Rattus norvegicus: one gene and its partners. The protein of the gene in region 2 interacts with the protein of the main gene of each other region in a pairwise test. Links are inferred from orthologs where the notes say so. Each region holds a gene or a part of one and is shown on either strand. Other genes may lie near its edges. The genes, in order: Dbp, Ddit3, Cebpg, Tnfsf12, Fosl2, Batf and Hsd17b14.

Region 1 (4,083 bases), on a different chromosome or scaffold from region 2:
ATTCAGCGTTATTTTTGTTCCCACTGCCTTGTCTGAGTCCTACTTACTGAATCCTTGCTCTGAGCTTAGACTTGTTAGACTCACTGCTAAGAGTGATGGAGGTTCCAGGAGCTTGGCTAAAAAAGGTTGACTCCTGTGTCTTTAAGAACAAAAAAGACAGGGCCAGCCGAGGACACCAGTTCAGGGCCGCGTCACGTGTGGCCTACAGCTTCCCCTTTCCCCTCCTCCCCACCAAGCACCCGCACGTTCCCGGGCCCCCGCCTCCTCGCGCGTGAGAGCGCGTGCGCGCAGTAAGGAGGGAGGACTCACGTGGCGAGGGAATGTGCAGCACTGGTTTTGCCTGGAGGTCGGATCAGGGACAGGTGTACCCAGGCGTCCCACATCGAGACTCCTTGTCTTGATAGGGATCGCCTCCCTTCTTGTTCCTTTTGGTCTCAGCTCCAACAGCTACAATGATTCTACCCACCCACCCCGCGCTATTGGGGGGGGGGGGGCGGATCGTGGTAGAACCGGCCTGTCAAGCTCTTGGCCATCCAGATTCCCACAGTTCTGAGATCCTAGGTCCCCAACGCAGGAATATGGGGAGCTCCTCTGGAGAATCCAGAATCGGGATCCCGACATTCTCTGCTGCAAGACTCTGGGAGGCAGGATGCAACACCCTCCACTTGGGGGTGGGGGGCAGAATCCGGGAACCTAGTACCCCGCTCTGGCCTGCTCGCTCCCATTTTAGGTGTCCTTGAAGTCCAGTCCTATCTGGTTTCCCAAAATTCTGGACCCAGACTCTGGAGTTAGTACTTTCCAGTTAACTAAGGTGTTCTGAGTTTCTAGTCTTGGCTCCAGGAAAATGAGGAAACTTTTGTATTAGAGAAAAATATATCCTCTCACTGAATAATCCTCTCGCATTTGGGGACCCAAGTCCCCTAAAGGATCGCAGCATCTCATTGGGCAGACTTCCAAAAGTGTCGCGAGGCCCCTCCCTGCCCGCCAGCCCCGCCCCTTCGCCGCACCTGCGCGGTGGCCGCCGGCGGCTCCCAGAGTGGCCCGCGCGGGGGCGTGCCCGGGCGAGGAGCGGGGGGAAGAGGAGCTGCAAGAGCCGGGCCCGGGGGAGGGCGCGGGAGTGCGCGCTGGAGAGGGTGCCGGCGACAGGCCCCCGGGGGGCGGCGGGCTCGGCGGTAGCCCGTGCTCCAGCAAGAAGGCGTCCAGGTCCACGTATTCCACGTCCCCGAAAGGCAAAGTGCGTTCCCACAGCAGCGGCGCAAAAAGACTCGGGCCAGCCACAGGCCCTGAGCGCCCCCGAGGGGACCCACCGCCACTAACCGCCCCAGTTGGGGCATCCGCTGGGCCCGCCGTTTCCAGGACGGGTCCCGGGACGGGGGCTGAGGGCAGAGTTGCCTTGCGCTCCTTTTCCTTCAGGAGACCTGTAGGCCAGGGAGAGACCGGATGGGGTGGAGGGACACAGGAGGGACCCCAAGTCAGAGATATGGCGGAGATACAGAGAAGTGAGACGGGAGACGTAGGGTAAAGACCCAGGGAGGCGGGTACAGGCAGGGAGAAAACACAGAAAAAGAAGACAGGGATGAAGATGGGGCTTGGGGAGACCCAGAGAGAGAAGAGGAAGAAGGCCCCAGCAATAGAGACGGTCAGGAAGACGGGGACCCAGAGAGGGGTAAAATACAAAAGTATACAGAAGGATAGGGTTAGAGACCCGGGAGGGGATTAAGGGATACAAGAAAGCGACCCAGAGAGCGAGGATGGAAGTTTAGAAAGAAGGGTTTAGTGACAAGGTGGGTGAAAGGTTGGGCAGGTGAGAGAGAAAAAAAGTGACAGCTCAGTAATTCCCCCACCCCCAGTATCCTCATCCCCTCCCCCACAATCTGTTAGCGCTGGAAGGGGCTCCATTGCTCAGGCACATTCCTCACCCTTACTTTCCATGTGACCCTGTGAGGCCCCGCCCAAGCCCGTGTCTGCACCGTGTGAGCATCCGACACACCCCCTCCCTTCCCCTAGGACTCCAGGGGTCCAGATTCGGAGGCCAAAGGGAAGAAAGAGGGGTCTGGCACCTAAACTCTGTCCTCATGGAGGAACACTCCGGGACTTGACTCTTAGGCCCTCCAAGCGTCATATTTGGTCCTGGACCCTGAGGGACTGGAAGATCTAAGTGACCAAATAAAGACTAGCAAAGATGGGACACCTAGCTGATAGGTGCCGTATACCACCACCCCAACAGTAGAGTCTCTAACACAGTGGGACTAGAACTCACAGCTGGCCGGTTCTTTGGGCTTGCTGTTTCCCTGCAGAAGGCTCCTCAGCCCAAGCAGCGCTCCCCCGCCAGGGGGGGCCCCAGCCGGGCCACCCAGCAGCAGGGGGCCCGGGGTCCTGTCGCTCAGAGGCCGCGCCATTTCCGGGCACCTGCTCCCAGGTTCATGAGCTCATGGAGAGTCGAAGAGATGATATGTCAGTCACCCGCACACTCCTGTGGCTCGGACGAATGTGTCCCAGAGTCGGGCGAGCGCGGCGAGCAAGCCTCCAGTATCAGAACGCTTCAAATCCTACGAGCACTGCGGGGGCTCAAACAGTCTGCTCTGCAGAAAGGTGCAACTCAAGAGTGTCCCGGGAGGCTCCTATAGTCTGGGCGAGTGGGTGACCAAATCAAGCAGCTGTCTCTTTGCAACTGTGGGTCCCCAAGGGACACAGGCGCGCGCTCCTTCTGTACCAGGTGGGCGAGACTCTGGCTCTAGCCAATTTTGCACTTCTCGCAAAGAAAGGAGCTTTGCAATCTGCACCCAGAGGTGTGCACCCAGGGACGGAGGAGGGGGCAGGAGGAGGCGGCAGCCTTGAGGCGTGGCCAAAGCAAACTTCTTTCGCGGAAAAAAAAAAAATCCAAACCAAAACACCCGACGCCAGAGCGCGCGCCCCTCCTCCGGGCCCCCTCCCTTCTCTTGGGCCATGCACCCCAGCCGCGTGCCTCCCTCCGGCTGCTAGCAAAAGCCAATCGTTTCTCGAGCCCTTGAGACGCTCAGCCAATGAAATTAAGGGATCTGCCAAGGCCCTGGAGGCGCGTGAGGGGCTGAACTTGTGGAATTGCCTCGCCTTTGGAAGAAGGCGGGACACTGACCTACATATGGCCAATGGGATGAGGCGCTGGAGGCGGGACCGTGACCCACTTCGAGCCAATGAGACAGGAAGAAGGGGGAAGCACATGGCTCTGCGCGTGCTACCGGATGCGGGTGTTGGGCAAGAGGGGTGCCCCTTAAAGGAGCCGCGTGTTCACAGACTCATTGTTTGAGGAAAAAAGCTTAACACCAATTAGAGCAGGTTAAGGCAGAAAGACCTGGGCTTCGGGAAGGATTATTTTTTAATATCTAGATATTTCTCAATCGCAGCTGATAATCAAACCACCGAGAAACTGGAAACATTCAGTCCCTTTAATAGCTTTGTTTTGGGGTGAATTCCCCTCCCCTGGTGAGGAAACTCAGAACAGGCGGGCGTAATCCTCGTTGGGGAGTCTCAGCGACCATGAGGACCACCATCCACTGCAAAAGAAAGCACCGGCTTGAGGGGTGTGGGAGTTGAGCGCATAGGGCTGTACTACAGTCAGGCTGCTAAGGGGGAATGGAATATACCAAGTTGGTGAAAATGGTCAGCTCCTGGACCGGACCATATAGAGAGGGAAGAAGGCCACGTGGGACGTGCAGATTAGGCTGGTTTGCATAAGGGTAGTAATACAGGAAGGGGATATGGTCATTTGAGCCGTACCATGTTGAGAAACCAGACAAGAGGCCAACAGATTTCCCCAGGGCACAACCACCTTCAGGAAGACAGAGGGATTGTACCACACTGATTCTCAGAAAGGGGATAGTTGTCAAGACTATAGCCCTTAAGTAGGGTCATACCATTTGTAAGCAGGTGACTTGGACCGTACCATCTTGGAAAGTGACAATATTGCAGAGGGCATGGACCAGTATGTAATTGTACCACAAGGAAATCAGAGGGTGTCAGGCCTTAGCACTAAGCTGCGAAGAGGGGTGGGCTGCACTACTGTTTCATACTGAGAGGTGAGAAAGTACGAGGGGCATGTCACAC
Region 2 (4,071 bases):
AAGGAGCAGTCTGGCCAAGGACCTGTCACTGTCGCACCATCCAATAGCAACCGGTCTTGGTTCAGTTTCTACTTAGACAAACTCTGGCTTGCCCCTCCCGAGTGTACGACAGACTATGTAATAGGCCACCACATGGCCTCTGTTTTCATGGCACAAAAAATAGGTTTTGCAAGATGTTTTTACTTTTACTCAAGTTTTCTTCACAGTGCTGTTTTTACCTTTACCTATCATTCTTTAATTTACAACTGAGTACGGTAGATTCCTTGGGCAAATTAAACTAGAATGACCCAGTCCAGGCAATCATGCGCTCAAGTGCATGCACGTCCCAGTCTCTAGGTCGTGAACCCAGACACCTAGAGGCATGAGGCCAGCTAATCAGCAGGGAGTCACAGGACTTGCTATCTTGGAGAAGGAAAAGGGTGGGTATTGGGCTTAGTGAAGGGCATAAGAGCATCACACAAAGCAGGGGTAGGATAAGTAGGCAGGAGGCTACACTCTACAAAGAACTTGAATTCTGGCACGCAGTGGACGATTCTGAAACAAACGTTAAAGCTGCCCTTCTGAGAGAAGCGGATGGACTACCAAGGAAATGCCAGTACCTCAGTCTTTGGGAAGCGTTAGAAGGCTAAAAGAGGAGGAGGTCTCTTAAAAGACTCCAGAAGATGTCAATCCAGGTGAACAAATTGGAAACTTTAAAGAGGTTCAAGAGCCTCGGTGCCCATTAGTTGGGAGGGGCCAGGGAAAATGAGTCTTTTATGGAGGAGTAAGTTAAAGGTGATGGGAGGTGGGCAGACAAGTTCAGGAAGGACAGCCGTTGGGGCCGTTGGACACTGTGAGCTGGCGCTCCGCCTTCTTTCCTCTCTCCCCCATCCCCCCCTCCCGCCCGCTCCCCAGCACCTCCCACCACCATCGACGTCTCCTGCGCGTGCGCGCGCGGACACCGGTTGCCAAACATTGCATCATCCCCGCTCCCCCTCCGCCCCCCCCACGTCATCCCCTCCCTCGCCGCACTCTCCTCCGCGCGCGCGCATGACTCACTCACCTCCTCTGCGAAGCCTCGTGACCCAAAGCCACTTCCGGGTCCGAGATAACGTAGACTCTCGAGCCAGAGGGCGCGATGGAGGCGGGGCCACGGGACTCCTGAGTGGCGGACGTGAGGGGTGAGGCGGAGCCTGTGCCAGCGTGCCGCTTTCTGATTGGTAGGCTCCTGGACACTACCCCCCCCCAGGAGGGACCGAATAGCATAAAAGATACTCGCTCTCCGCTCCAGAGGTCAGTATCTTGAGTCTAATACGTCGATCATACCATGTTGAAGATGAGCGGGTGGCAGCGACAGAGCCAAAATAACAGCCGGAACCTGAGGAGAGAGGCGAGTACTGACTCCGTCTACCCCTTACTTTCCCATCCTCGCCAACATAGCTATTCCACAAAGTTAGAGGCAACTGTCCTTGAGGGTGTAGCCCCACCCCTTCCACTGTGAGTTTGTAGACTGAGGGGCGAGTGAAGGCGGGTAATTCCTGATTCGGGAATGGTGCTTACAGGCCACCTCTTTGGGCGATTGCATTCCCGTTCCCTTGTCTCAGGTTGGTCCCTGCTCTGCAAAGGGACTCCGGTTGCCTTCGGAAATTTGTCTCAGTACTGACCATTTGCGGGCCATCTTAGGCCTAGGCGGTTCGCAGGAAAGGTGGGGCAACAGGACACACCCCCCAATGTTGGGGACTCCGGCTGTTAGCACCTCTTCTCCACCAGCCTCATTCCCCCCAACTCTTTCAAGCTGAAGCGCCTCAGGGACCACCAACATGGCCACTTTAGTAGCTGTCTCTAACGTTCAAGACAACTCAAAGACTGACAGATCTTTGCGAGTGGGGGTGCCGGTGGGAGGAGCATAGATGGGTTTTTCCCTTTTCCCCAGAGGTTTCTGGGTTTCCGTACAAGAGAGCAGCCTGGGTCTCTTTAACTATGGGAAATTACTTGGGATCTCTCCAGGGTCTTCTGCTTCTCTTAGGACTGATCTCTGCTTCTTTCCTCAGTCCTGTCTCCCAACTAATCTCTGTAACCGTTGCATCAGGCCAGCCCACTGTTTGTCTCTGCACCCTCAGGCCTGGGGCTCCTCTGCTGATGAAAGCCAGGTCCCACACACTGGAAGACCAAGGAGTTTTCCCTAGAGGACAACCCTGCAGAGAAACACTCAGGGCAATATTGCGTCTGCAGTCCCCAGAGACAGGCAGCTCAGCTCTGCCTTTGGGCTCAGTGGGCTTAGTTGTTCTCTATTCGTTCCTAACAAATGCCTAATAAGCACCCACTATGTGCCAAGCATTTGGGGATCCAGGGTATATTAGAAGCAAAAGACGAAACTGTTCTCAATAAAACTTACATTTCAATGTAAAGCAAAAGGGGGGAAAAACAGAAGCAGGGAAAAAATAGTTCAGGATGGTGGCTAGAGGTTTTATCATTCAGGAATTGCCTCAGTGGGTGGGTGAGATGGAAAGAAGGCAAGCCTGTGAGCCAAGCAGGTAATGTGGAAGAGGTTTATAGAAGGGAGAGAAGGAGCAGAAGGGTTGAGATGAGTGTGCCAGTATCCTTAGGAGCAGGGCAGTGAGCTGGACTAGAGTAAGCAGGAGAGGGTGGTGAATGGAAACTCAAGTAGCAGGTCCTGTAGAGCCTTGCAAGCATTCTCAGGATGCTAGTCTTTCAACAGTCCTGAAACAGGAATCCATTGGGGGATCTGAGCAGAGGAATGTCCTAAATTAAAAGGGTTGGGGAAAGACCCCATGCATTTAATTCCAACACTCAAAGAGGTAGGAGCAGGCAGAGCTCTGAGCTCCAGGCCAGCATAGTCAGATCCTAACTCAAAATAAATACAAAAACAAAGGGTTGAGTGTGTAGCTCAATAGTAGACTGCTTGCCTAGTATGTAGAGGGCCCTAGGTCAACCCGCAGCCATGAAAATAAAAAAGACAAGAATAGAAACAGGAGATCTTAGCTGGAAATAATGGCAAATGCCTTTAACCCCAGCACTTGAAAGGTAGGTAGATCAGAGTTCAAAGCCAGCTAGTCTACAAAGTAAGTTCCAGGACAGCAAAAGCTACACAGCAAGACCCTGTCTAAAAAAAAAAAAAAAAAAAAAAAAAAAAAGATTTCAAGGCTTCCAAAAATAATCTAGGGAATGAAATGCATAATGCATGGTAAGTTTACATCTGGAAATAATGAGAAAAAGTGAGAAATATTTAGGTTTTGGGTACTTCTAAAGAATATTGAAGTTGCCAGTGCTTTAGACTGAGCTGTGGTATCTGAGAAGGGAGGAATTAAGGATACCAAATGTTTGGCTTTAGGCACCTATAGTTGCCATTTAGTAAGAACTGTACCCCCTTGGTAGGAAAGGCCTTTTGTGTAAGCTGAATGCCTGCTCAACAACCAAAAGAGATGGAGATCCCAGGGCAGGTCTGGAGGCTAGGATGGGAATGGAGTTTAAGCAAATACTGCTGAAATCTCTCTTCCCTGTATTTTAGTTCTCACTTTGGCAGATCTGAGGTCTATCTGGATTTAGAGAAAACTTAGTTGGCCAGGACTTTGCTATTATGTAATCAGGACTACAAATGTCAGCAACTAAAAATAAAGTTAAGCATGCCTGTCCTTGGCTTCAGGGACACACACACACACACACACACACACACACACACACACACACACACACACGAGCCTCTCTGTGGCCTGGTCTACAGAGTTGAGTTCCAGAATTCCAGGATGCCCCGGGCTTCACAGAGAAACTGTCTCAAAATCCAATGACAGAAATTAAGAAACCAGCTAGAGAAAGACCAGTAAGAGGCTAGAGGTAAAGGACCTGTTTCTTCCCCTTTCTCCACAGTGTTCCAGAAGGAAGTGCATCTTCATACACCACCACACCTGAAAGCAGGTAATCTTAGCCACCCTCCCAGTCAGCTCCTAATGCTGCTCAACTTGCTTTGCTGGGATGAGAGTTAGACCAGGCCTTGACCAGAACCAGCTTTTGCTGTCAGACCATGTCTTTCTCTGATCCCATAATGTTGTTTTAGAGCTGGCTTGTCTCAAAGTC
Region 3 (4,174 bases), on a different chromosome or scaffold from region 2:
GGGACAGCAAGTTCGTCTTCTTCATTGCTGACTCCTAGTCCACACCACATAGCTGGTCCATGTTTGTAAACAGCAAAAGAATCACAGGCTATCAATTAAAGAGGAAATCTCAAGACCCCTGGGCATTGACTGCTGGCTGTGGGAGGCTTGCCAAGAACCAACACAGAATGCAGCTGTCAGGGAGGGTAGCTGGCAAAAAGAGAGTCTACCTCAATGTACATATGACATACAAGGATATTTTTATTTTCTATAGTTTTTATATGATTAGAAAATATTAGGGATAAGATCATGATTATTTTGTGAGAAACAAAGCACAGTTCATCTTTGATAGTGCTAAGAGTCATGAAAAAAAAAATGGCTCTTAACACAGCGATCCAAACCTAAAGAAACATACTGGTTTTGAGACAGCTCCCCAAATGTGCATAGGGTTATCAGGAGTCATTCTCTGTGTTTGCCTGTTTTTTGTTTTTTGTTTTTTGTTTTTTTGTTTTTTTTGTTTTTTTCTTTTTTTGTAGGTATTCTCATCTCTCAGGGATTCCTGGAAGTCTTAAGTGGAGAGCTGCTCTCCTGGCCTTGGCGCGGATGAAGAAACATTTCTTTTTGAAAGCCAGTGAGTTTTGAATGATAAGCATTGCTAAAGAGGAAGCAATCAAACCTATCTCTCAGGCTCTGCCCTCCACCCAGCACGCTGCTTCCTGTACTTCAAAAAACAAAAACAAACAAACAAACAAACAAAACCCAACAAAACCAGCTTTTTGATTCTTTTGTGAACTGTTTGGGAGAACCAGGCTGGACTGCTTGTCACTTTTAAGACAGCACCTCAGGTCCATCATCCGCTCTCACAGAGACGAGCACACTTTGGAAATCGTGATTTGTCTGAGAGCCACAGTCTACTGTTCTCAAGAGTGTGACAAGTGCTAACCCTAGCACTGGACAGTTTTTCCTTAACGTGCTTTTGTCAAAATGAAGTTTGCAGACGCCCTAGGGCCGCGAGGCCTAAACAAAACAAAAAAAATCAAAATCACTAACTCAAAAATCCACCCGAGGAAATGCCATTTCCCTAAGGCAGGTGAGACTCTCATTACTATGACAGAACTTTTCTCGCTACCGGTCACTCCCATCGCTCAGGGCCGCCGCCCGCCACCACGGACAGCCTAAGGGGGAAACCGCGGAGCGCGCCTCCAGCCAGCGCCGGTGCTACCACGCCCACCACGCCCGCTCCGCCGTAAGTCCGCCTCTTGCTGCCACCCTGGCTGTGATTGGCTGGTGGAGCTGCCGGTCTTGAGAAGCGAGCGCGTCGTTCTCCGAGCAGCGCTTCTATTGGTCACGGCTGCGGCGGCAGCGCGCGGACCCGAAGAGGAGGGGAAAGCCGGTGGCCGCGGTGGCGGAACGGGCGGAGGCTGCCGGTTTCGTAACCGTCGCTCCTCCTCGCCGACTCGCAGGCTGCGAGGCCTGGGTAGGGTCGGACCGCGCCGCGCGGGGCCGCTCGGAGTGGAGGCCGTCTGGGGGCGGGCGGGCCGGCCGGAGGCGCAGGTAAGGAGGCCGCGGGTTCTAGCTCGGAGGGGTTGGGGGAGGAGGCCGCAGCGGAGCCCGCCGCTCGCGTAGGCACCGGCCGGGCTCGAGGAGACCCGGCCCTGCCGGATTCAGCAGGTTGGCCCGGAAGGCCCCCGGCGGCTTGGCGGCGCGGGCGGGGACCGGGAGCGGCGTCTGATGCAACCTGCGGGCAACACCCGGCGGGGCTGAGCTCATCCCTGGCCGCGGCCCAGCGCCGCCGCGCAGGGCGCCGACCCCCGCGCTCCCCCAGGCGCCCCCTCACCACAGTCGGGGAAGGGATGGAGTACCAGGTGGCCCCTCCAGAACCTGCTCCCCGGCGACGTGCAGCGTGACAAGCCTGGCGCGCATTGGCCCCTGGGAATGGAGAGTGTTTCTAGAATAGAAGATGGACCGAATCTTACTTTGGAGCCACCTAGGACTCTTCTGTCGCTTCCCAAACGGCTCGGTCTGGGGGAGGAGGGCCCGGGTCCTATTTGGAGTTAATAACCTAGTGGTCATCTAGGGAAGGCACTTGATTTTTTAAACACTTAGCGCTGCAAGAGGGAGATTTCGTTTGTTTTTTGGGACGCGGCCGCGTGTCTTGTAGTTCATTGGGAGGGGAAGGACATCCTAGATAGCGCACCGGTTCACTAGACGCAGAAGGTCAAGCCATGAAGCCTTTCCTTAGCTCGCCTGGAGGGAACTCGGGAAAAGAGCCAGCAGACGAATACAGGTGGAGAAGTTGGGCGGCGTGCGTGAGGATTGTTTCTCTTTCTAAGTGCGCTTGTGTATTTCTGGTCTTAAGAAGGCTGGCATGCTTAGATTTGCTCTGCTCTTTGTTGTATTTTGTTTGTTTCTTTGTAAGCCGCCTCATAAGATGTATCAAATTTAGAAAGGTTTTAACCTTTGTGAGTTGCACAACAGCTGGGGCCTGTGTCTCTGGAGTTTCCACCCGCTTGAATCCTTACTTGAATATATTATCATTGAATGCATACCTGTCTCACAGAGGAAATTTTGAAATAAAGCACCCCGTCTTTACTGAGAAATTCAACATAGAAGAATTCAGAGCATGGTAGGCAAGCCACTCTACCTCTGAGCCGCATCCCTAGCCTTCAGAGCGCTCTAAGGTCCGTTCAGCTGTTGTCATTTGAGTAGTATTAATAAGCTATCCCTGCGGTTCTTACCTGTTCCTGAAAAACTGTAGATAATGGCAGGACGCTACTGAGCTGAAGAAATACTTGAGTCTGTTTCCTGAGTCCGATGGGCATGCCCGACTGACTCAGTTATTTTTATGACCTATCAGAAACAAATAGGTGGGAGCAGACTTCCCTCCCCCTCCCCCAATATCCTTTAAATTCTCACACCACGTCATGATTGCCAGCCAGCTCTGTGATCTTGGAGAGGTCCTTTCATCCCTAGCGAATTAAATGCTCCCTAGGAAAGTCCCTGGGAGCATTCCCTTCTGAGATCATGGGAAGACACACAGGACCTGGTTGACAGTTGCCACAGTCACAATAATGAGTACTGTAGCAATTTTAGGTTTCCCTCAGAGGGGTGGTTGCATAGGTTCTTACACTAGCAAGTTTATTGGTCCTCTCTCTAGTCCATTGCTGTGCCCTGCCATTAAAGAGAGGGAAAAAAGTGAACAGGAACTCCTAATAAATATAGTTATAAACAATGTATTTTTGAATGTGCTAAATAGTACTATAAATAGATGTAAAGGATAACATCCAAACAAGCTTATGTTTTCTTCACAACTCCAGTGGACCACTTACACTGAACTCCTTGAAGGAGTCTCCTCTCCTTCATGGACTCTGCCTCCTACAGTCTCCAGGGAGCTGGGATTGCCAAAGAGACTGGGGGAGCAGATTGAACAAAAGGCACAAAGAGAAAACAGAGACCATTTAGAATGCTTTAGGGAGCAGAACTTGTAGAGAGGGTTAGGATCTTGGCTTTGATCCTGTAGTCACAGACATTGATTTTTAGTAGCAAGATGTGACATTGTTAGGTTTGAATGGAAGACTGCTTGACTTGCAGGTACCAAACTCTTTGAGGTCAAATGACTGATCCTTTTATAGGGGTCACCTAAGACCATCCGAAAACAGATATTTATATCATGATTCATAACCATAGCAAAATTACAGCTATGTAGTAGCAACGAAAATAACTATGGCTGGGGGTTGCCACAGCATGAAGAACCTGTATTAAAGGGTCAAAACATCAAGAAGGTTAACTATTGCTCTAGATAATCTAGATAGTGGGTGCTTGGAGGGAGCTCAGGCTGCTACACCAGAGGCTAGGGCTCCTGGGAGATGATGTCAACCTGAGGTAATTTCTGTGGCATTAGGAACGACAAGAGATGTGGGATATTTTTGTTTGTAAACCTGAAGACTCAACCTTCATTAAGGAAATTGAGTGAAGATTTGATTTTGGGGGGCTAATGGAGGGATACATGGTTCTATCTAGGTTTATGGAAAAAAGTGACAAGCTAGGGAAGTTCTGTACAGGTTTATTGTTCCAAGTAAAAATTTAGACAAGTTCTATTTTACTATTCTAACATTCCAGAGTTTCATTGTTTTATTCTTTTGAATGAACATTATTACTTTAGTTAATAAATTTGCATTTGAAGAAAGTTTTACTC
Region 4 (3,399 bases), on a different chromosome or scaffold from region 2:
CCTGTGCTGAACTTGGCAAGCCGGACTTCCTGTTTCCCAAGAAGAGTTCTTACATAAGGTTCTCTGGACAAAGAGAAAAGAAAAAAGCCCCAAGCCCCTCAGTCAGCGCAGCACTCCTCCCCACACCCATACGGCTGGCCCACCAGAGCCCTTCCTATGGCTCTGAGCCCCTTCCCGGGCTAGCTCCATTCCATCTCCTAGCCAGGCCCGTGCCAGCACCTGCTCAACTGCTGAATGTCCTGAGGCCGCCAAGAGGAAGGACCCTGCTCCTCCCAGCCAGGGATTCCCCTGCAGGAGGAAGTCCGCTGCTAGGAAAATGAGGCTGCTTCTGCAGCGCCTTGTGCAGAGGACCAGGTGGTTTTGTTGTTGTTTGCATGGTTTTTTTTTTTCTGGTATCTTTGTGATTTCTATTCAAAACTGCAGCTTGGAGGCTTGCAGGTCCCCATTCCCCAAAGCCTAAGATTCCCTTCCCACAACCTTCAGTTACACTGAACCCCAAAGAAGAGAAATCATGATTTATTCTCTTTAATATCCATTTAACATTTTGTCACAATAATAATAAAAATAGTATCTTTTCAAAATCCACAGGGATCCAGGGAGGAGCTTGTCTCCATCTCTTTCCCCTCACATTTGGGAACTTCTGGCCTAGTCCCAGGTTCTTTGGCTTCCTGCCACCAGGTCCAGCCTATCTTGATGCCTGATGCACATAGTCAGTAAAAACAGGGTCCCAGGGTTGGGGCGGGGTAGTCGGGTACGTGGGGGCTTTGGGAGCTCGTGAGGCGGGCAGCTGTGGTGGGGTGGGAGGTTACAGAAGAACGGGAATATGTCTGTGGAATGGAAAACATGTCATCAAGCCCTGGCTGCCTTGGAAGAGAGGACAGGACTGGAGCAAGGAACAGCTAGAGGGTGGAGGAGTGGGCGTGGGGTGGGGAGGTGCTGTGGTGCTCTGGGAGCTGTTAGGTTAAAGTTTAAAGAACCTGGGAGAGCAGGACCCCTCAGTGAACTTGAAAGAGTCCAAAGTAGGTAAGGAAGGGGGCAGCCTTAAGATGAGCCCAGGGGAGGGTACGGATCCGAAGGGAAGACCCTGGCCGCAGAGGCAACAGCCCAGACACCTGGCACAGACGGAGCTGGGGCCCAGGAGAGCTCGCTGCTGTGGCTGAGAATTCTTCCAGGCAGCGCAGGGCCAGCACACCATTCACCAGCAAGTCCAGCTTCAGGTAGACTGCCTTCCCCTCATCAAAGTGCACCTGGAGCAGAGAGAAACCAGCAAAATCCAGACCTCTGCCTGCCCTCATCGAAATCCAGGCATCTTCCTTCATGAAACCCAGGTTCTCCCACTCCCACCCATTCCTTGCCAAGCCTTCCTCCCCTTAGCCATCGCTCTACCCATGGAGCCCAGGGCTTACCTGACAGTACAGGTAGTAGAGCCCAGCCCTGATGACCGTAAATTCCCCAATCTGGCGGTCATAGCGCAGAGGGCTGGAGCTGTTGATTTTGGTCTCTTCCCAGCCACTCACTGTCCCATCCACACCTGGATAGGGGATGTGTAGGGATAAGTAGAAGCCCTTTACCAGACTCCCCCACACTCCCTAAGAATCCATCAAGTTTACATATTTGTGAGGTACAACCTACCCCGAAGGGTATCAGTGGCCCAGAGTATAGGTGGAGCCATGCCATTATGGTACAAGAAGTGACTAGAAGGTATTGTGTGAGGAGACCTAATGTATATGACCAGGGCACTTCAGGGCTTCTGAGGGGATAGAAGAGCAGTGCTGTAAGAGAGAGGCTGGGGTTTTCACATCTATCTCATCAACATGGTTTGTGTCTTGAACATATAAGATGCATGTGCATGTTTGTGTGTACATCATTTGAGTCGATTAAAAATGAGTGACGGGGGCTGGAGAGATGGCTCAGAGGTTAAAAGCACTGACTGTTCTTCCAGAGGTTCTGAGTTCAATTCCCAGCAACCACATGGTGGCTCACAACCATCTTAATAGGATCCAATGCCCTCTTCTGGTGTGTCTGAAGACAGCAACAGTGTACTCATACATAAAAATAAATAAATAAATTTAAAAAAAAAATGAGTGACGGGCCACAGGCTCACTGGCTATGAGTTTAAAACTTCCTATACAAATAGGAATATACGTAGCATCAATGGTGTACGCCTCTAATCCCAGCACTTGGGAGGCAGAGGCAAGCAGATCTCTGTGAGTCTGAGGCCAGCTTGGTCTTAGAGCAAGTTCCAGAAGAGCCAAGAATACACAGAGAACGCTGGTCACAAAACAAAACAAAGTAACATTTAGTGCCCATCAGCAAATGAACAGATGAGCAAACACTGCAGTCCTATCTACTGGGCCTCACTCTGCTATAAAAGGAATAAAGAAGTTTCTTGCCACCAGGTGGACAAGCCTTAAACATACTGTGCTAAGTGAAAGAACCATGCGCCATAGTCTCCCAAGCACAGGAACTGCCTGGAAAAGTAGTTTATAGAGACAGCAAGTGGGCAGGTGATTGCCCAAGGCTAGCCCTGATGGGACTATGGTGTGATGGCTAAAGGATACATGGCTTCTTCTTCTCTTTTTATTACTATTATTTTTGGCACAGTCTCACGTAGCTCAGGCTAGCCTTAAACTTGCTGTGCAGTTGAGGATGAACTTGGATTCCTTATGCTACCTTGCAAGTGCTGAGATTATGGGTGTGTGCCACTTTATGAGGCTTGGCCTTGTGGGGTTTTGTTTGTGATAGGATCTCTCTCTGTAGTCTTAGCTGTTCTGATTGTCCACTATATTGACCAAGCTAGTCTCTAACTCACAGAGACTGACCTCCACCTGCCTCTGCCTCCTAATGCTGGGATTAAAGGTGAGAGCCATATTTTGTGGTGATTAACGGCTTGTACTTTAGAGTGTACTTTAGTCACGGCAGACTAAGAGCACAGAGTTGCACAGGCGGGCAGACTGCATGGAATGTGAAATCTGTCTTAATAGAGCTATTACCAGAGCTGTACCGGGGAAAGGGCTGGGCGTGCAGCTCAGTGGTAAAGTGCTTAGCTAGTACGCCTAGGACTCTAAATTCTGTCACCACAACACACACAAGAAGAAATCCCTAGAACTAGTGTAGTTGAAAACTGGAAAGAAAGCCAGGCATGGTGATACATGCCTTTGACCCCAGCACTTGGGAGTCAGAAACAGATAGATCTCTGAGTTCAAGGCCAGCCTGGTCTACAGAGCAAGTTCCAAAGCAGCCAGGGCTACACAGAAACACCCTGTCTCAAAACAAACAAGAAAGAGAGAGAGAGAGAGAGAGAGAGAGAGAGAGAGAGAGAGAGAGAGAGAGGGAGGGAGGGAGGGAGGAAGGAAGGAAGGAAAAGGAAGTAGTAGGCATGGAACTCTGAGTCCATGA
Region 5 (4,210 bases), on a different chromosome or scaffold from region 2:
GTTTTGTTTTGTTTTTCATTTGAAGGGGGCCTGGCTGAAGAAAACAAGTTATGAAATGACCTATGTTTGTGTAACTGGCTGGATTGCGTAATGCCAGGGCCCTGAAACCGTAACAGCCAAGGAGCAAGGCACAGCATATATCTGGAGGTGTTGTCCCAGGGAAAAAAAAGAAAATCACAACAATGAAGCAAACTCCAGGAGCGGGAGGGACATCCAGCTATCTCCAAGAAAATGGAACTGCCGGCGATTAACCTTTGAGATTGAGATTACAGCTACAGCAGGAAATATTTTTCATGTTCCGAGTTCCTGCCATGTACACCAGGCAGAGGTCTTAACAAAGCTGTCTGCTTCCCAAGACCTTATGAAGTTAGACAGAGAGGGGAAGTGGCGGGCAGCAAACATATCGGGGACACAGGACCCCACAAACAAGGAGAACAGGGAAAACCAGGAACATCTCACAATGATTGGTCTACAGTGCTACCATAAAGGAGGAAGGCCCAGTCACTAACTGCCAGGAAATCTTCCCGGTCCCCGAGAAGGCGGCTGGGAGCAGAGTTGATTTCAGACTTAATCTGGCATGTAATAAAGTTACCTTGAACCCAGATCAGGGTGCGTCGTAGCTCGGAGTTGGGAAGTAAGAAAAGCAGACGCCTATCATTGGGACCACAGAACTGTTTTTGCAGAAAGTCAGAGCAGGGAAGAGAAAGCCCTCCTCCCCTTCCCCATCTCCCACCCACTACATGGGCAAGGAGCAGAGAGGCCAGGCTGAGAGTTGGCTGAAGTGGCCAATGCCTCTGGTTTGAAAGACTTTTTGCTCCTGCCGCTGAGCAGAATGGGCAGCCGGACCTGAGAATCCCATGCACTGGTTGTTGCTAATTGCAAAATCCTCATGTGTTACAGCATGCTAGGAATTAGCCAACAGCTGCTTTTTGCTTGGGTAATGAGGCCCCATTACACACGGCTGGACGGAGCTCTCTTCCTTCATCCGAGCATCGGTTTCCTGTCTGATTTGCTTCCAAAACAGGGAATTGCCTCTGCTTACATCCTGGGCTCAAAGCCCTAGTGACACAGATTATTCAGTAGGGGCACTGATGTCCGGTCTGACTTCATCCAGGCCAGGAGATTGTACTATGTCAGTCAGTGCTCACTGCCTTGGTCTCATTAGTGGAAGAAACAGAAGAAATTCCAGGCTCCTACGATGATTGGGAAGGAGAGGTACCTGGGGTAGGGTTATTGGATTGGAAAGTAGGGGAACAACAGGTATAAATGACTCTAAATCCATTGGTGAATGATGTTTGGATTCAGCCCAAAACACCAACTGCACAGGGACACAAATATAAGCAACTACTTTTGAGATGTGATTTTGTGCTCAGTGGTAAGGGTTCATTGACTGCACCCTCAACGCTTAGACCAGGCTATCCACAGGGGGTGCTTAATAGGTATGGGGGAGGGCGGGTAGAGAGAACACACAGAAAAGCCATTTGTAAGGACTCTTCAGACATGGGACATTACTTTGAGAGATGCCTTTCTCATCAGATTACAAAGAAACCCATATTTCTATATTTCTCAGCTCAGTTCACCCCTCCCTGGAAGACCCCTGACCTCTAAAGGTCAAAGTCAAGGCCATAGCCATTGGCTTATGGAGTAACTCATGCTGCAGCCAGCTTGTCTAGGAACTCCCAATGCTGGCTGAGGTGGGCTTCAGGTGGCAGGGAACCTTGTGTGTGCATGCAATTCCCTCGCAAGTTCTTGTATGCGGTTCCTGCTACACAAGTCAGATACCCCACGGCCCCCCACCGCCCCACCAGTACCTACAGAGACATAGATTACAGGCAAGATCCCTCAGTGCAAACCAGTCTGGCTGCTTTAGAAAAAGAGTTGTTTTTCTACTTCTAAAACCACTCAGGAGCCCAAGTGATGTCTCTCTCTCCCACTTCTCTCTGACAGCTTCTTTGCCCCAGTACCCCCAAGCCCCTCAAGGATCTGCTCCGGGGGAAATACAGGCTCCTGCCCAACCCTTACCGGAAGCTGGAGGGGGGGTATCACAGAAGGTGTCAAGAGCCAATCAAAGCCAGCTTCTTCCTTACTGACCTTCGCACCTAATTCCCAGAGGCAACCCTCGTCCTCACTCCCAATCACTTGAAGGAGCCCAGCCTTGTTTCTGAGCCCCCAAGCCTTTTCAGAAAACAGCTAAGATCGAAGAATAACAGAAGAAAGAAGGGTTAAAAAGCCTTCCCCCGCAGGGTCCTTTCGGTTGGGAGGGGCTTAGAGGGTGCAAAGATTTTCTTGCCTATCCACTACCTAGAAAGAGGAAGGTGAAAAGGAAGGCAGAGCGGCTCGGAAGGAGGCAACAGGCTTCCCGGAGGGGACCTGCAGTATCATGAGCTTTTCTGGAAAATTAAGTAAGAAAAGGGGGAGAGGGTGTCGTTGGCTCTCCAAGCCCACTCTCCGCTTGTTTAAAAAAAGTGGAGGGGAGGGGCGGAACAGAACAAAACCCCACAACTTACAGCGGTGACCCCTAAGTATTTTTCTAGCTTAGCGAGGAAAGGGAAAAGACGGAGGTTGGGGGTGGAGGCACTGGGAGCGAGAAGAGGGAGTCTGCCCGCGCCGCCAGGTGCACCCCGGCCCGCACGTACCTGCTGGCCGCCGCCACCGCTGGAGTAGGACTCGGCGTGCGCAGGAGAGCCACTGCTGCCCCGGGACGAGGTGTCAAAGTTCCCGGGATAATCCTGGTACATGATCCGCGGTGGGGGCCGGAGAGGAAACAGGGTGGTTTTCTTCCCCGCCCTCGCCGCGGCCGCGCACAGTTTGCTGCGCGCTCGCTGGTCCACCGGCCCGGCCGCGGACTGGGCTTTTCGCTCCCGGGCTGTCCACCCAACCCAGGCAGACAGGAGGCAGCGACACTCGGGAAATGACCCCCCGATCGCCGCGCACCGCACTTCGTTTCTGCTCTGCAAGCTCCGCGGAACCGGTTGTCCACCGGGTCCCTCCCTCTAAAAAGTCGGCGCGTCCCTCGGTCCCTCCCCTGCGCGCGCCCTTCCGCCCCCGCGCGCAGCCCGAGCTCTGCCCGGACCTACGGGTTGGAGAAAAATGGGCAACGCAAAAAAGACTAGGAGCTCTGCGGGTGTCGCTTGGCAGCTCTGGGGGACTCCCTCTCCGATCTCCCAGGGCGCCAAAAGGGCGAAAAAGAAAAGCTGCCGGTTGGGAGAAACTTCTGTTTCCTCCTTTTAGAAAAGGAGCCCAAGAATAAACTTCCTGTGGCCAACTCGCCGCCTGAGTTTCCCGGCGACTCGGACACTTGACTTAGGACAAGGCGATGAGCGCCGGTCCAGCGGCCCCGATCGCGCCGGTGGGACAGCGCCCGTGGGGTTCCAGGCTGAGCGGTGCTGAGAGGGACGTGGCTCCGCGTCGCAGTGACCTGCACCCGGTGCCTGCTCTGGGACCGGCCAGTCTCACGCGTCTCGCCTCGCTTCGCCCTCCCCTCTCTCTCCCCCTCTTTCTTGCGCGCTCTCTCTCTCTGTCCCTGCCGAGCGCCGCTCGCTGTCTCTCTCCGAGCCCCTGCGCTCTGCCCGAGATGAGTCACTACAATGGCACGAGTTCAACTCCACACTCTTTATTCTCCAGCCCCGCACCATGTGGATCCACTCACGTCAACTGTAGACTCCACCTTGCTGGGAGGAGCGCTCGAGGCGGCGGGGGAGGAGGCCCGGGACAAGGAGGAGGAGGAAGAGGAGCGGGAGGGGAGGAGGCGGGCGCGGCGCTCCCCTCCCGGCCCTGCTCGCGGTCGCGCTGACGCCAGCCGCACACCCCGCGCAAGGAAGGCGGGCGGCGGGGAGGGTGGGAGCGGGCGGCCCCCGCACTACGGGGGCGCCGAAGCCGCCCGCGTTCTTGCAGATCTCCTCCACCCCCCTGGGGCGCAGCGCCCTTGGTCTGTTCCATTGGCGCACGTTGCCAAAGATGGTCATTTGCGTTAGAGGACGCGAGTGCGGGTTTCCTCGCATTCGGGTGACGTGGAGGGAGAGGGATTCCCTCGCCTGCTCCTGAGTGCGCTCTGGCCTCCCTACCTCCCCCCCCAACCTCCACCCCAAAAGGAAGGGGCGCGGGGCGGGGCCCCGAAAGCGGCCGCGCGGGCCTGGGCTCTGGGTTTTAGAAAAAAAAAAAAAAAATCGCAGCCTGAAGACCAGACGGGCGGCTCAGTGCGGCGCCACCG
Region 6 (4,115 bases), on a different chromosome or scaffold from region 2:
AGGGAAGCCTTTCCCCACACCCGACCCCATGCAGCCCTTGCCCTCTTTACTCTCCCCACGACAGCAGACTCATCAAAGCTGGGCCCCACGGCCCTGCCGGTGAGGGAAACAGAACCTAAGGGTAGGAGTGTGGTAGGAAGTGTGGGTACTCACCAGGTGAAGGGTGTCGGCCTTCTGTGTCTGTCTCTGTCGGCTCTTCTGGGCAGCAATGCGGTTCTTCTCTCTCCTCTGAACTTTCCTCACATCATCGGATGAGTCCTAGGAAGCAGAGGTAACAAGGGTAGGTCCGATCATTCCTCTTCTAGTCAAAACTCCTTCCTTCCTTCCTTCCTTCCTTCCTTCCTTCCTTCCTTCCTTCCTGCCTGCCTGCCTGCCTGCCTGCCTGCCTGCCTGCCTTCCTAGTCCTCAGTTCTTTCTGTACCATCCAAAGACATTTTCTTCAGCTTTCCCTGCTACCCGCCCTTGGGTCTCCCGTGGCCTTCTTTTGACCAAAAGCTACTGGAAGGTGAAGAGAAACTGAGGCCTCAGAAGTGCTGCTTTGGGGAACACCAGTTAAGACAACAAGGTCTACCCCAATCACTTCTACTCTCTCCAGACCTGCTTTAGCCTTACTCTGTGTGTGTGGGGGGGGGGTGTGAGTGTGTGTACATGTGTGTATATGTGTGTGCATGTGAGGTGTGTGTGTGTGTGTATATGCACACATGTGTGCATGCACTAGGATCTTCTTGATGTTCCTTTTGCTATTTTCTTTGGAAACTTTGCTGAGCATCTGCCATGTGCCGACTTCTGTACGGGCGCTTTCAGAGGCACTGCGATACAATCCCCCAGCTCCCTGAGCGGCTGCCATCTTTTCTGTTTTACACAGAACAGACTGAGCTCATGCCATCCAGGGGTATGACATGTTCTGGTGCTGTTTCTAAATCCCATCTGAGAATTCCCTCCTGACTATTAATTTCACTGTGATACACCCTTAGGCAGAAGGCACCTCTCTTTCTTTTATTCATTCGTTCCTTGTACAACCATCTTGAGATCTCCCTAGTTCTTAACATGATGCTTACTACAAATGAGGTACCAAAAAATCAATTTATGAAGTGCAGGTCACCTGCTTTTTGGGCCACCAATAGGTGCCTTGGAGGACACAATACTCTTTGGGTGCTCTCTAAGTATATCCTTTGAAGATGAGGGAAGAGAAGCCCTTCTGCATCCCCTACCCTGTCACCTCCACTGGTCTGAGAGGCAAAGATCCTTGGGTCAGGCTCTGACTGCCTTCCCTCTTTACTCAAACTTTCCAGGTCATTCTAGCAGGCCGACATTGAGTTAGAGAGAGCAAGGATGCACTCTTTCTATATAATTCGCCAAGGGACTAGGTTACCATGGCAGCTGTAAGTAATTTCCTTCTTAAGAAGACTAGGGTACCATCTTCCAGGCAGCCTGGGTTGCCCTGATACTACTGTGAGCGAGAGACTGACTGTCTCCTTCTTGAGGTCTTCACCAGTATGGCTTTTGGTGAGGGGCTTGTGACAGATGTGAAAGCAGGTGGTCAGATAGTATATACAGTTATTTTATTTGTAGCATTCTGCAGCTCCCTGGATGTGTGTAAGGCTAGCACTCTACCTCCGAGCTATAGCCCCTCCCGATATGTGTGCTAAAGAAAGAATGTAGTTTTTAAGCTGAGGTGTAAAACAAAGTTTAATCCATGGGTCTAGGCTGGATGAAGAGGAGAAATTTCTAGGGCAAGAAGTATCAAGAATGTGGAAGAGAGACCCAGAAAGTGCAAGGTGGGACGGGCATCCCAACAGAGGCATCTCTCAAACTGAGACTTGGTATCAATCAAGAGTGTAAGAGTCTCAGAATCTTTCCCTCCATCCCCGGATTTTCAGTAACCGATATGAGCTACTGGTGAAGGTCTCCAGCGCGTCTTCTGGTCCATGGGCTTCTTTCTTCTATCTGGAAGCCACAGGGGGAAACAGATACAAGTTGTAGCTTTAGCCTCCCTCCCCACTGGCTGCTCTAGTTACAGAGGCAGTCTGCGGGCAGATCTTGCCGCTCTTTTCCTGTCTTCCTCGCTTTGGTTTACTCTATTCTTTCTTCCTGACTTCGGTCCTGTCTTGCCGCTTGGCTCTTTCTGGAAAGTTCTAGGATTTGGGTGGAGCTCACGGCAGCGATCTACTGGAACATCCCTCTGCTTACGGTTGACCATACTTCTAGGCTCTGTGATAGTCACCCTGCCCCCAGCTTCCTAGAAAGTTTCAAGGTGGGAACCTAAGTGGCAGAGATGAGGGGTACCGCTTGGAAAGGGGGACTTTTGTGGCAGGATGCGAAGGCTTCACCACTTGAACCTCTGTATAGCAAACACCACAAGTCCAGAGTCCGCTAGAAAGCTCTTGCCACGAGCTACTTCCTTCCCCGGCCAGAGCTCCCTGAGCTGAGAGTAGACTGCCCCTTTTCTACCACCCCGGGAAAATCAGAAGACAGCGCATGGGGGACGTGGGGGAGTAATACCTGCTTGCCGGGGGGAGGAGAGCGGCTGAAGCTGGAGTCGCTGCTGTCGGAGCTGTGAGGCATGGTTGTAATCTTCCGGACTCTCCCACACTGTCCCAGATGCCTCTGGGCGATCTTCTCACTAGCAAGCTCCCCTTCTTGACTGCCAGGGGGCCAGCAGCGTACCACCTTCCACAGGTGCCTCCCCTGCTCGTCCTGCAGCTATCTCCGATAGACCCCTGCGTCCTCCTCTCTCTGGGGTGCAGAGGGACTGCTCCCCACAGGGACATCTCGCTCACTTTGGGGCTTGCGCACAGGCCCTCTCTTGTGGTTTCTGGTAATTCAAGCTGGAAGTCACATGGGCGGAAACGTCAACAAGTAAGAAGGTAGCTAGAAAATACACATCTGGGAAAAGACCATAGAAGTAGGTGAAAGAAAAAAAAAGATACACAAACCCCCAGTATCTTCCGGCAGTTTGAGAGCAGAGCTAGTGCTCTTCATTCGATGAAGGTAAAGGAGGAAAAACAGCCAGTTAGGGAAAATCCCCAGCCAGAATTAGCAAGTTCTCTGCTGTCAACATGGCAGAGAGCGGCAGGAAAGAGCCTCCAGGTCACAGGCCTTGATTTTAAAACTTAAATAACAGTAAGGAGCCTGGGAACCGTTTCTGGGTTTCACCCGAAGCCGCTGCCCACCCTGATTTAGGCTGACTTTCCTCATTCACCTACAGGACTGTGCGGTGGTCTGGGGACAAAAGCAAGGAGGGCACTCCCTTTTACAGCCGGCCAAACAGATAGTTGGAGCTACTGAGTCTCGAATGGACGCTAGAGAAGTTTACTATTTATCCCCCGTCTACTTAGCAGGACACTCCCATTCTCTCTAGAGAAAAGATACCTTCTGTGGAGAGGCTCTTTCAAGAGTTCAAGGTTGACCTTGAGTATTCAGGAGTCAATGAGGTCAGAACCCAACGAGGAGAAAATGTCAAAATGAGTGACGGAGGCTCTGGACTTGGAGTGAGATCGGCCATGATGAGAGCCCACCCGACCCCTATTCCTACTTCCCACCCTCACCCATACCCCACACCTGCCTACTATCTCTCAGTTACTGCAACGAGAGGGTGACAATTGGAATAGCAATGTCCCCCACCCTGTGAAGCATGCTGCCTGTGGAGATGGTCGTGCTTGCCATGTGTCCCATGACAGGAACATGCTTGTGATTTTAGTGAACAATCCTATTTTCATCTGGGTCTTTTGGCTAATTAAAAAAAAAAAGTCTGGGCCCTGGAAAGATGTTCAGCAGTTAGTAGTGCTGGCTGCTCCTTCAGAGGATATCGGTTCTGTCCCCAGCATCCACACAGTGGCTCACAACCATCTGTCTCTCCAGTTCCAGGGGACCCTTCTCCCTCTTCCTGCCTCCTCAGGTACCAGGCACACATTCGATGTGCAGGCCAAACACTCACACATATTAAGATAAAAGCTCTCACTACATTCTCAGTATGGCTCAAATGTTCCTTGTTTAACCTGAGGACTGACAATATGTTATAGCTCCTAAAGCATTTTATTATCCACTAATTAAAGTTTTAGTATCCACTGACTGAAATTCCGCCTGACAGCAATATGGTTCTAAGGACAAACTTA
Region 7 (4,259 bases), on a different chromosome or scaffold from region 2:
GAGCTGCGAAATGGCTCAGGAGTTCCGGGTCATGGAGTAGGTATGGATCTAGAGTGGGAGCTGCAATGGGGTGGGGGGGTCAATTCTTGATGCAGACAGGGGAGCAGTGGTGTTATTATAGTTTCCTGTGTACCAAACAAGTCCCCAGAACTTCTGAGTCCCTTGAGTTCCCGAGGTAACTACAAAAAAGCCAGGAAGCCCCTGGTGGTGGGTCAGAGACTGCAGAGCTCTTGTGGCCTGAATCAGATCCAGCTGTTCATCCAGTAATGGTGACCTCCCTGCTGGTCTACTGGTAACAAAGCCTGTGCTTAACGTCCTCTAGATAAAAGCTAGGAAGAACTCCCCGGGAGCCTCGGTGGCCTGTTTGACACGTGGCTTATTTTCTGTAGTCCTAGGCACTCCACAACCTACTCACCCGTGTCTGGAGGCCACCGGGAACGAGTGCTCAGCCTCTCCCAAGCTCTTGCTACAGAGGCTTCCCAGTGGCACAGGCTGATGACAGGTGAGGTGCCCAGGCTCTGAACCCCCGCATCTGAGGAAGGAGGCCTGGAAGTTTGGACTTTACACGTTTAAGTTAACACTTTTCTCATTCTCCGTTTAGCCTCTCCAGAGAGAAATTTGGACACCAGGGGAGACTGTCTCCAGCCAAGTCCACAGCCTCCCAGTGAAGAGCTGCCCCAGGTCACCTCGTCCCCAACTTCTCACAAGGCTAACTCGGCTACCACAGGGTTCTCATGCCAAGGGAGTGGGAGAGGCCTGGCTCCGTGGGAGCCCAGGTGGGACCCTGGGAAGGCCCCTCCAGCTCTGGCCCAGGAAGAGGGGGCATGGCCCCTGAGAGTCACTCTGCTGCAGTCCAGCTTTTGACTCCTGCCTTTGCACTGGGTGCTAAAGGCTGGAAGCACAACCTTGAGGTGTGGGACCATTCAGGACCACAGGGGAGAGGTTCATTTCAGCCTGTGTTCTAGGAGGGCCGGGGCTATGATGGTCAAAGATTGATTATCCCAACACTGTCCGAACTTGGATTAAAACTTTGAACTAGTCAATAAATAGCTTTATTCTCTCTGTGGTTGTGACATTGTGTTCTGACAAACAAGCGTCAGGGCCTTGGATTCACAGGACATTGGGGGGCTACATCTTAAAATATGGGTCTGAGGGAGGAGGTTGGAGTCTGGATCCTGAGTCAAGGCAGAAGTGGTGCTGGTCTTACAAGTCAAAGGGAGCAGGGCTAGAGTCAGTCTGAGGGGGCAGAGCTGGGGTGGGGGTCCCTGAGCCTGGAAGAGGAGTGTCAGGATGGGGATCCCTGGGTCTGAAGGAGGATCATCACGGGTGGGGACCCTGGGTCTGAGAAAGAGGGCTAGGAAGGAGAGTCCTCAGTTCTCCTAGGTGTGCCTTCCTGGGAACTCCCCCTGCCAGGGTCAGCCTTCAGTGACCCAGCCTGTATATCTGGTTCCACTCCCCCGCTTCTCTGGACTTTAAAGGTGGGAAGAGGCCCAGAGGGTGTGGGACACGAGCGAGATAGCTGGGAATGGCTGCAGTAGGCCGATATTCTGGGAAGGTGGTGGTGGTGACTGGGGGCAGTCGGGGCATCGGGGCTGCGATCGTGAGAGCCTTCGGTGAGTAAGGGTCTTCCCGCCTGCTGCCTGAATTGTAGGAGAGAAAGAGCGGCTGGCAGAGGCTCCCACAGTGGGAGGAGGAGACTCAGGTTCATTTCTTTAATGATTTGTTTGTTTTTAATTTTCTCTGTGCGTTGTCGTTGTACCTGGGTGAGGTTGTCAGATCCCTCCTAACCGGAGTTATAAACAGTTGTGAGCTGCCATGTGGACGGTGGGAACTGAACCTGTGTCCTTTGGAAAAGCAGCCAGTGCTCTTAACCGCTGAGCCATTTCTCTGGTCCCTCCGTTTCATTCTTACATGAATCCATTTGGATTGTTGGGTCTTTGTTGATAGGTCGGTCATTAAAAGTTCTTCCACTGGCCTGGCAGTGGTGGTATATGCCTACAATCCCAGCACTTGGGAGGCAGAGGCAGGTGGATCTCTGAGTTTGAGGCCAGCCAGGAGAGTGAGTTCCAGGACAGCCAGGGCTACACAGAGCAACTCTATCTCAAAAATCCAAAAAAAAAAAAAAAAAAAAAAAAAAGTTCTTCCCCAGATGGGTCCCTAGCTGCAAATGATAGCTTTGTGTGTTTTATTGTTTGTAGGTTTTGGATTTTTCTAGAATCCAGGATGGGGGCCAAGCAGTGGCTTAATGAGGAAGGGTAATTTGTTGCTCTTGTGAGTGGAGACAATCTTGTGAGAGAGACAATCACGAGAGCCGCCAGAGAGGCAGGTGCTCTGGTGGCCACAAGAGGGCAGCAGAGGCAGTGACGCAAGTCTGCAGGGCAGGTAACATCGTTCTCTTTCTGTTGGCAGTGGACAGTGGGGCTCAAGTGGTTTTCTGTGACAAGGATGGTGAGTGAATCAGTGTTCATCTCTCCCTTGCCTCATCAATGATCTCTGCATAGCTCTCCTCCCTCAGACCCACATTCCTAAGCCTCCTCCCTCGGACCCAGAATCTTTCTCTTGCAGAGGCTGGGGGCCGGGCTGTGGAGCAGGAACTCTTGGGCACTGTCTTCATCCCCGGTGACGTGACTCAGGAAGGAGATTTACAGGTCAGTGTTTTCTGTCCCACACTCCATCGCCAGTCCCTCTGGGTATCCATGCCCTTGTCACCTCCGTCCTTCTGCCCTCTTCTCTCTCAGGTCTTTAGGAATGATCAGGACTTGAACTCTTGGCTCCTGTAACAAGTTTCTGACTTCCTGGCACTCAGAATCTCTTATGTGTTTCCAGGTCTAGCTCCTATCTGGGCCTCTGTCTTTCTTTGTCTCTCTGCTCCCCACTGCACTCGGGTCTGTAGACTCTCCTTCTGAGGCTCTGTCTTCTGCACACACACCCCTCCGAAGTCTTCTAAAATGGTGTGCTGGTTAGTGTTAAATCGACTGGACACAAGCTAGAGTCATTGGGAAGAGGGAATCTCACTAGAAAATGGCCCCACCAAATTGGCATGTGGGCAAGCCTGTTGGTCACTTAATTAATTAGTGGTTGATGTGGGAGTTTCCCCAGCTCCCTGGGGGTTGTGACATTGCAGGGCAGGTGGTCCTGGATAGTCTAAGAAAAGGGGCTGGACGAGGCATGGGAACAAGCCAGCGAACAGTGTTCGTCCACAGCCTCTGCTTCAGTCCCAGCCTTGAGCTTCTGCTCTGAGTCCCTGTCCTGGCTTCCCTCAGTGATAGATATGACCTGGGAGCTGTAGGCAGACATTAATCATCTCCTCTCCAGGTTGCTTTTGGTCATGGTGCTTATCACAGCAATAGGAACGCTGTGACAAGTGGCAACTGTGCTGTGTGGATCAGTCCTTTTAGTCTGGGTCCTCGACTTCCTGCATCCTCCTCTCTTTCTAGACCTATTCTGTGGCCCTGGTCCCCTTCCACCTCACCCTACCCTGTCTTCCTTAGCTGAGCCCATCCTTGCCTTGGGCCTCCTGGCTTTTCCAAGGCTGTCACCTCTCAGCTCATCACCTGCTCTTTCTTCTCTCCTCAGACTCTGATTTCTGAGACTGTCTCTCGATTTGGTCACCTGGATTGTGTGGTGAATAATGCCGGCTACCGTAAGTTGTGTGGTTTGGAGGCCAGTGTCCCTGACATCTACTTATACCCTCTTCCCCATTCCTCTCTTAAAAATTATTGCCCTATCTATCTATCTATCTATCTATCTATCTATCTATCTATTATCTATCTATTATTTATCTATCTGTCTATCTATTATCTATCTGTCTATCGATGTGCATGTGTGTAAGCGTGTGCTTGCACAAGCACTCGCACTCTCATGCACAGTAAGTACTTCTCTGGTGTTCAGTGCAACAAGAGGGAATCAGTTCTCTCCTTCGGCCATGTGGGATTGAGTTCAGGTTATCAGGCTTGGCACAAGTGTAAAGGTACAGTTGAGCCATTTCAACAGCCCAATCCTTCCTCTGAACCTCAGTTTACCCCTTCCTCAGGACACATAGCCCTCTGCCTCCCGCGTGCGCGCACATGTGTGTGTGTGTGTGTGTGTGTGTGTGTTTACACTTGCATGTATGTCTGTTCTCCCCTTGCATGACTGGTGCCCACAGAGACCAGAAGGAGTTGGATCCCCTGCAACTGGAGTTACAGGCAGTTCTGAGCCACCATGTGGGTGCTGGGAGTTGAACCTAGTTCTCTGGACCAGCAGCCATGCTCTAAACC

What was found.
Region 1: the proteins of Ddit3 (region 2) and Dbp interact in binary tests that used the Homo sapiens proteins (3 or more experiments, as listed by UniProt). The link is inferred for Rattus norvegicus from reciprocal best matches to the Homo sapiens genes DDIT3 and DBP.
Region 3: the proteins of Ddit3 (region 2) and Cebpg interact in binary tests that used the Homo sapiens proteins (3 or more experiments, as listed by UniProt). The link is inferred for Rattus norvegicus from reciprocal best matches to the Homo sapiens genes DDIT3 and CEBPG.
Region 4: the proteins of Ddit3 (region 2) and Tnfsf12 interact in binary tests that used the Homo sapiens proteins (3 or more experiments, as listed by UniProt). The two-hybrid records come from large-scale screens. The link is inferred for Rattus norvegicus from reciprocal best matches to the Homo sapiens genes DDIT3 and TNFSF12.
Region 5: the proteins of Ddit3 (region 2) and Fosl2 interact in binary tests that used the Homo sapiens proteins (3 or more experiments, as listed by UniProt). The two-hybrid records come from large-scale screens. The link is inferred for Rattus norvegicus from reciprocal best matches to the Homo sapiens genes DDIT3 and FOSL2.
Region 6: the proteins of Ddit3 (region 2) and Batf interact in binary tests that used the Homo sapiens proteins (3 or more experiments, as listed by UniProt). The link is inferred for Rattus norvegicus from reciprocal best matches to the Homo sapiens genes DDIT3 and BATF.
Region 7: the proteins of Ddit3 (region 2) and Hsd17b14 interact in binary tests that used the Homo sapiens proteins (3 or more experiments, as listed by UniProt). The two-hybrid records come from large-scale screens. The link is inferred for Rattus norvegicus from reciprocal best matches to the Homo sapiens genes DDIT3 and HSD17B14.

What each region holds. Positions count from the first base shown.
Region 1 is NC_086019.1:105,310,973-105,315,055, reverse strand, and holds the start of Dbp (D site-binding protein), read right to left. Parts: upstream 2,801-4,083; 5' UTR 2,400-2,800; coding exon 2,261-2,399; intron 1,419-2,260; coding exon 1,008-1,418; intron 988-1,007; exon of another isoform or gene 310-987; intron 192-309; exon of another isoform or gene 48-191; intron 1-47. Other genes in the region: Car11 (carbonic anhydrase-related protein 11), read right to left, coding at 3,508-3,533. UniProt on the Homo sapiens protein: This transcriptional activator recognizes and binds to the sequence 5'-RTTAYGTAAY-3' found in the promoter of genes such as albumin, CYP2A4 and CYP2A5. It is not essential for circadian rhythm generation, but modulates important clock output genes.
Region 2 is NC_086025.1:65,000,424-65,004,494, forward strand, and holds the start of Ddit3 (DNA damage-inducible transcript 3 protein), read left to right. Parts: upstream 1-1,271; 5' UTR 1,272-1,306; coding exon of another isoform or gene 1,307-1,369; intron 1,370-3,864; coding exon of another isoform or gene 3,865-3,906; 5' UTR 3,907-3,912; intron 3,913-4,071. Other genes in the region: uncharacterized LOC128125814 homolog, read left to right, coding at 1,307-1,369, 3,865-3,906. UniProt on the Homo sapiens protein: Multifunctional transcription factor in endoplasmic reticulum (ER) stress response. Plays an essential role in the response to a wide variety of cell stresses and induces cell cycle arrest and apoptosis in response to ER stress.
Region 3 is NC_086019.1:96,826,937-96,831,110, reverse strand, and holds the start of Cebpg (CCAAT/enhancer-binding protein gamma), read left to right. Parts: upstream 1-1,374; 5' UTR 1,375-1,533; intron 1,534-1,566; exon of another isoform or gene 1,567-2,266; intron 2,267-4,174. UniProt on the Homo sapiens protein: Transcription factor that binds to the promoter and the enhancer regions of target genes. Binds to the enhancer element PRE-I (positive regulatory element-I) of the IL-4 gene. Binds to the promoter and the enhancer of the immunoglobulin heavy chain.
Region 4 is NC_086028.1:54,902,116-54,905,514, forward strand, and holds the end of Tnfsf12 (tumor necrosis factor ligand superfamily member 12), read right to left. Parts: intron 1,532-3,399; coding exon 1,407-1,531; intron 1,248-1,406; coding exon 996-1,247; 3' UTR 501-995; downstream 1-500. UniProt on the Homo sapiens protein: Binds to FN14 and possibly also to TNRFSF12/APO3. Weak inducer of apoptosis in some cell types. Mediates NF-kappa-B activation. Promotes angiogenesis and the proliferation of endothelial cells. Also involved in induction of inflammatory cytokines.
Region 5 is NC_086024.1:30,036,470-30,040,679, forward strand, and holds the start of Fosl2 (fos-related antigen 2), read right to left. Parts: upstream 2,801-4,210; 5' UTR 2,739-2,800; coding exon 2,637-2,738; intron 1-2,636.
Region 6 is NC_086024.1:111,083,402-111,087,516, reverse strand, and holds the start of Batf (basic leucine zipper transcriptional factor ATF-like), read right to left. Parts: upstream 2,801-4,115; 5' UTR 2,566-2,800; coding exon 2,503-2,565; intron 259-2,502; coding exon 154-258; intron 1-153. UniProt on the Homo sapiens protein: AP-1 family transcription factor that controls the differentiation of lineage-specific cells in the immune system: specifically mediates the differentiation of T-helper 17 cells (Th17), follicular T-helper cells (TfH), CD8(+) dendritic cells and class-switch recombination (CSR) in B-cells.
Region 7 is NC_086019.1:105,164,236-105,168,494, forward strand, and holds the start of Hsd17b14 (17-beta-hydroxysteroid dehydrogenase 14), read left to right. Parts: upstream 1-1,459; 5' UTR 1,460-1,525; coding exon 1,526-1,613; exon of another isoform or gene 1,614-2,409; coding exon 2,410-2,448; intron 2,449-2,565; coding exon 2,566-2,648; intron 2,649-3,576; coding exon 3,577-3,643; intron 3,644-4,259. Other genes in the region: Plekha4 (pleckstrin homology domain-containing family A member 4), read left to right, coding at 1-40, 390-502, 602-864. UniProt on the Homo sapiens protein: Catalyzes the NAD(+)-dependent oxidation of L-fucose, yielding L-fucono-1,5-lactone, which rapidly converts spontaneously to L-fucone-1,4-lactone. Can also act on D-arabinose and L-galactose, with lower catalytic efficiency. Does not use NADPH.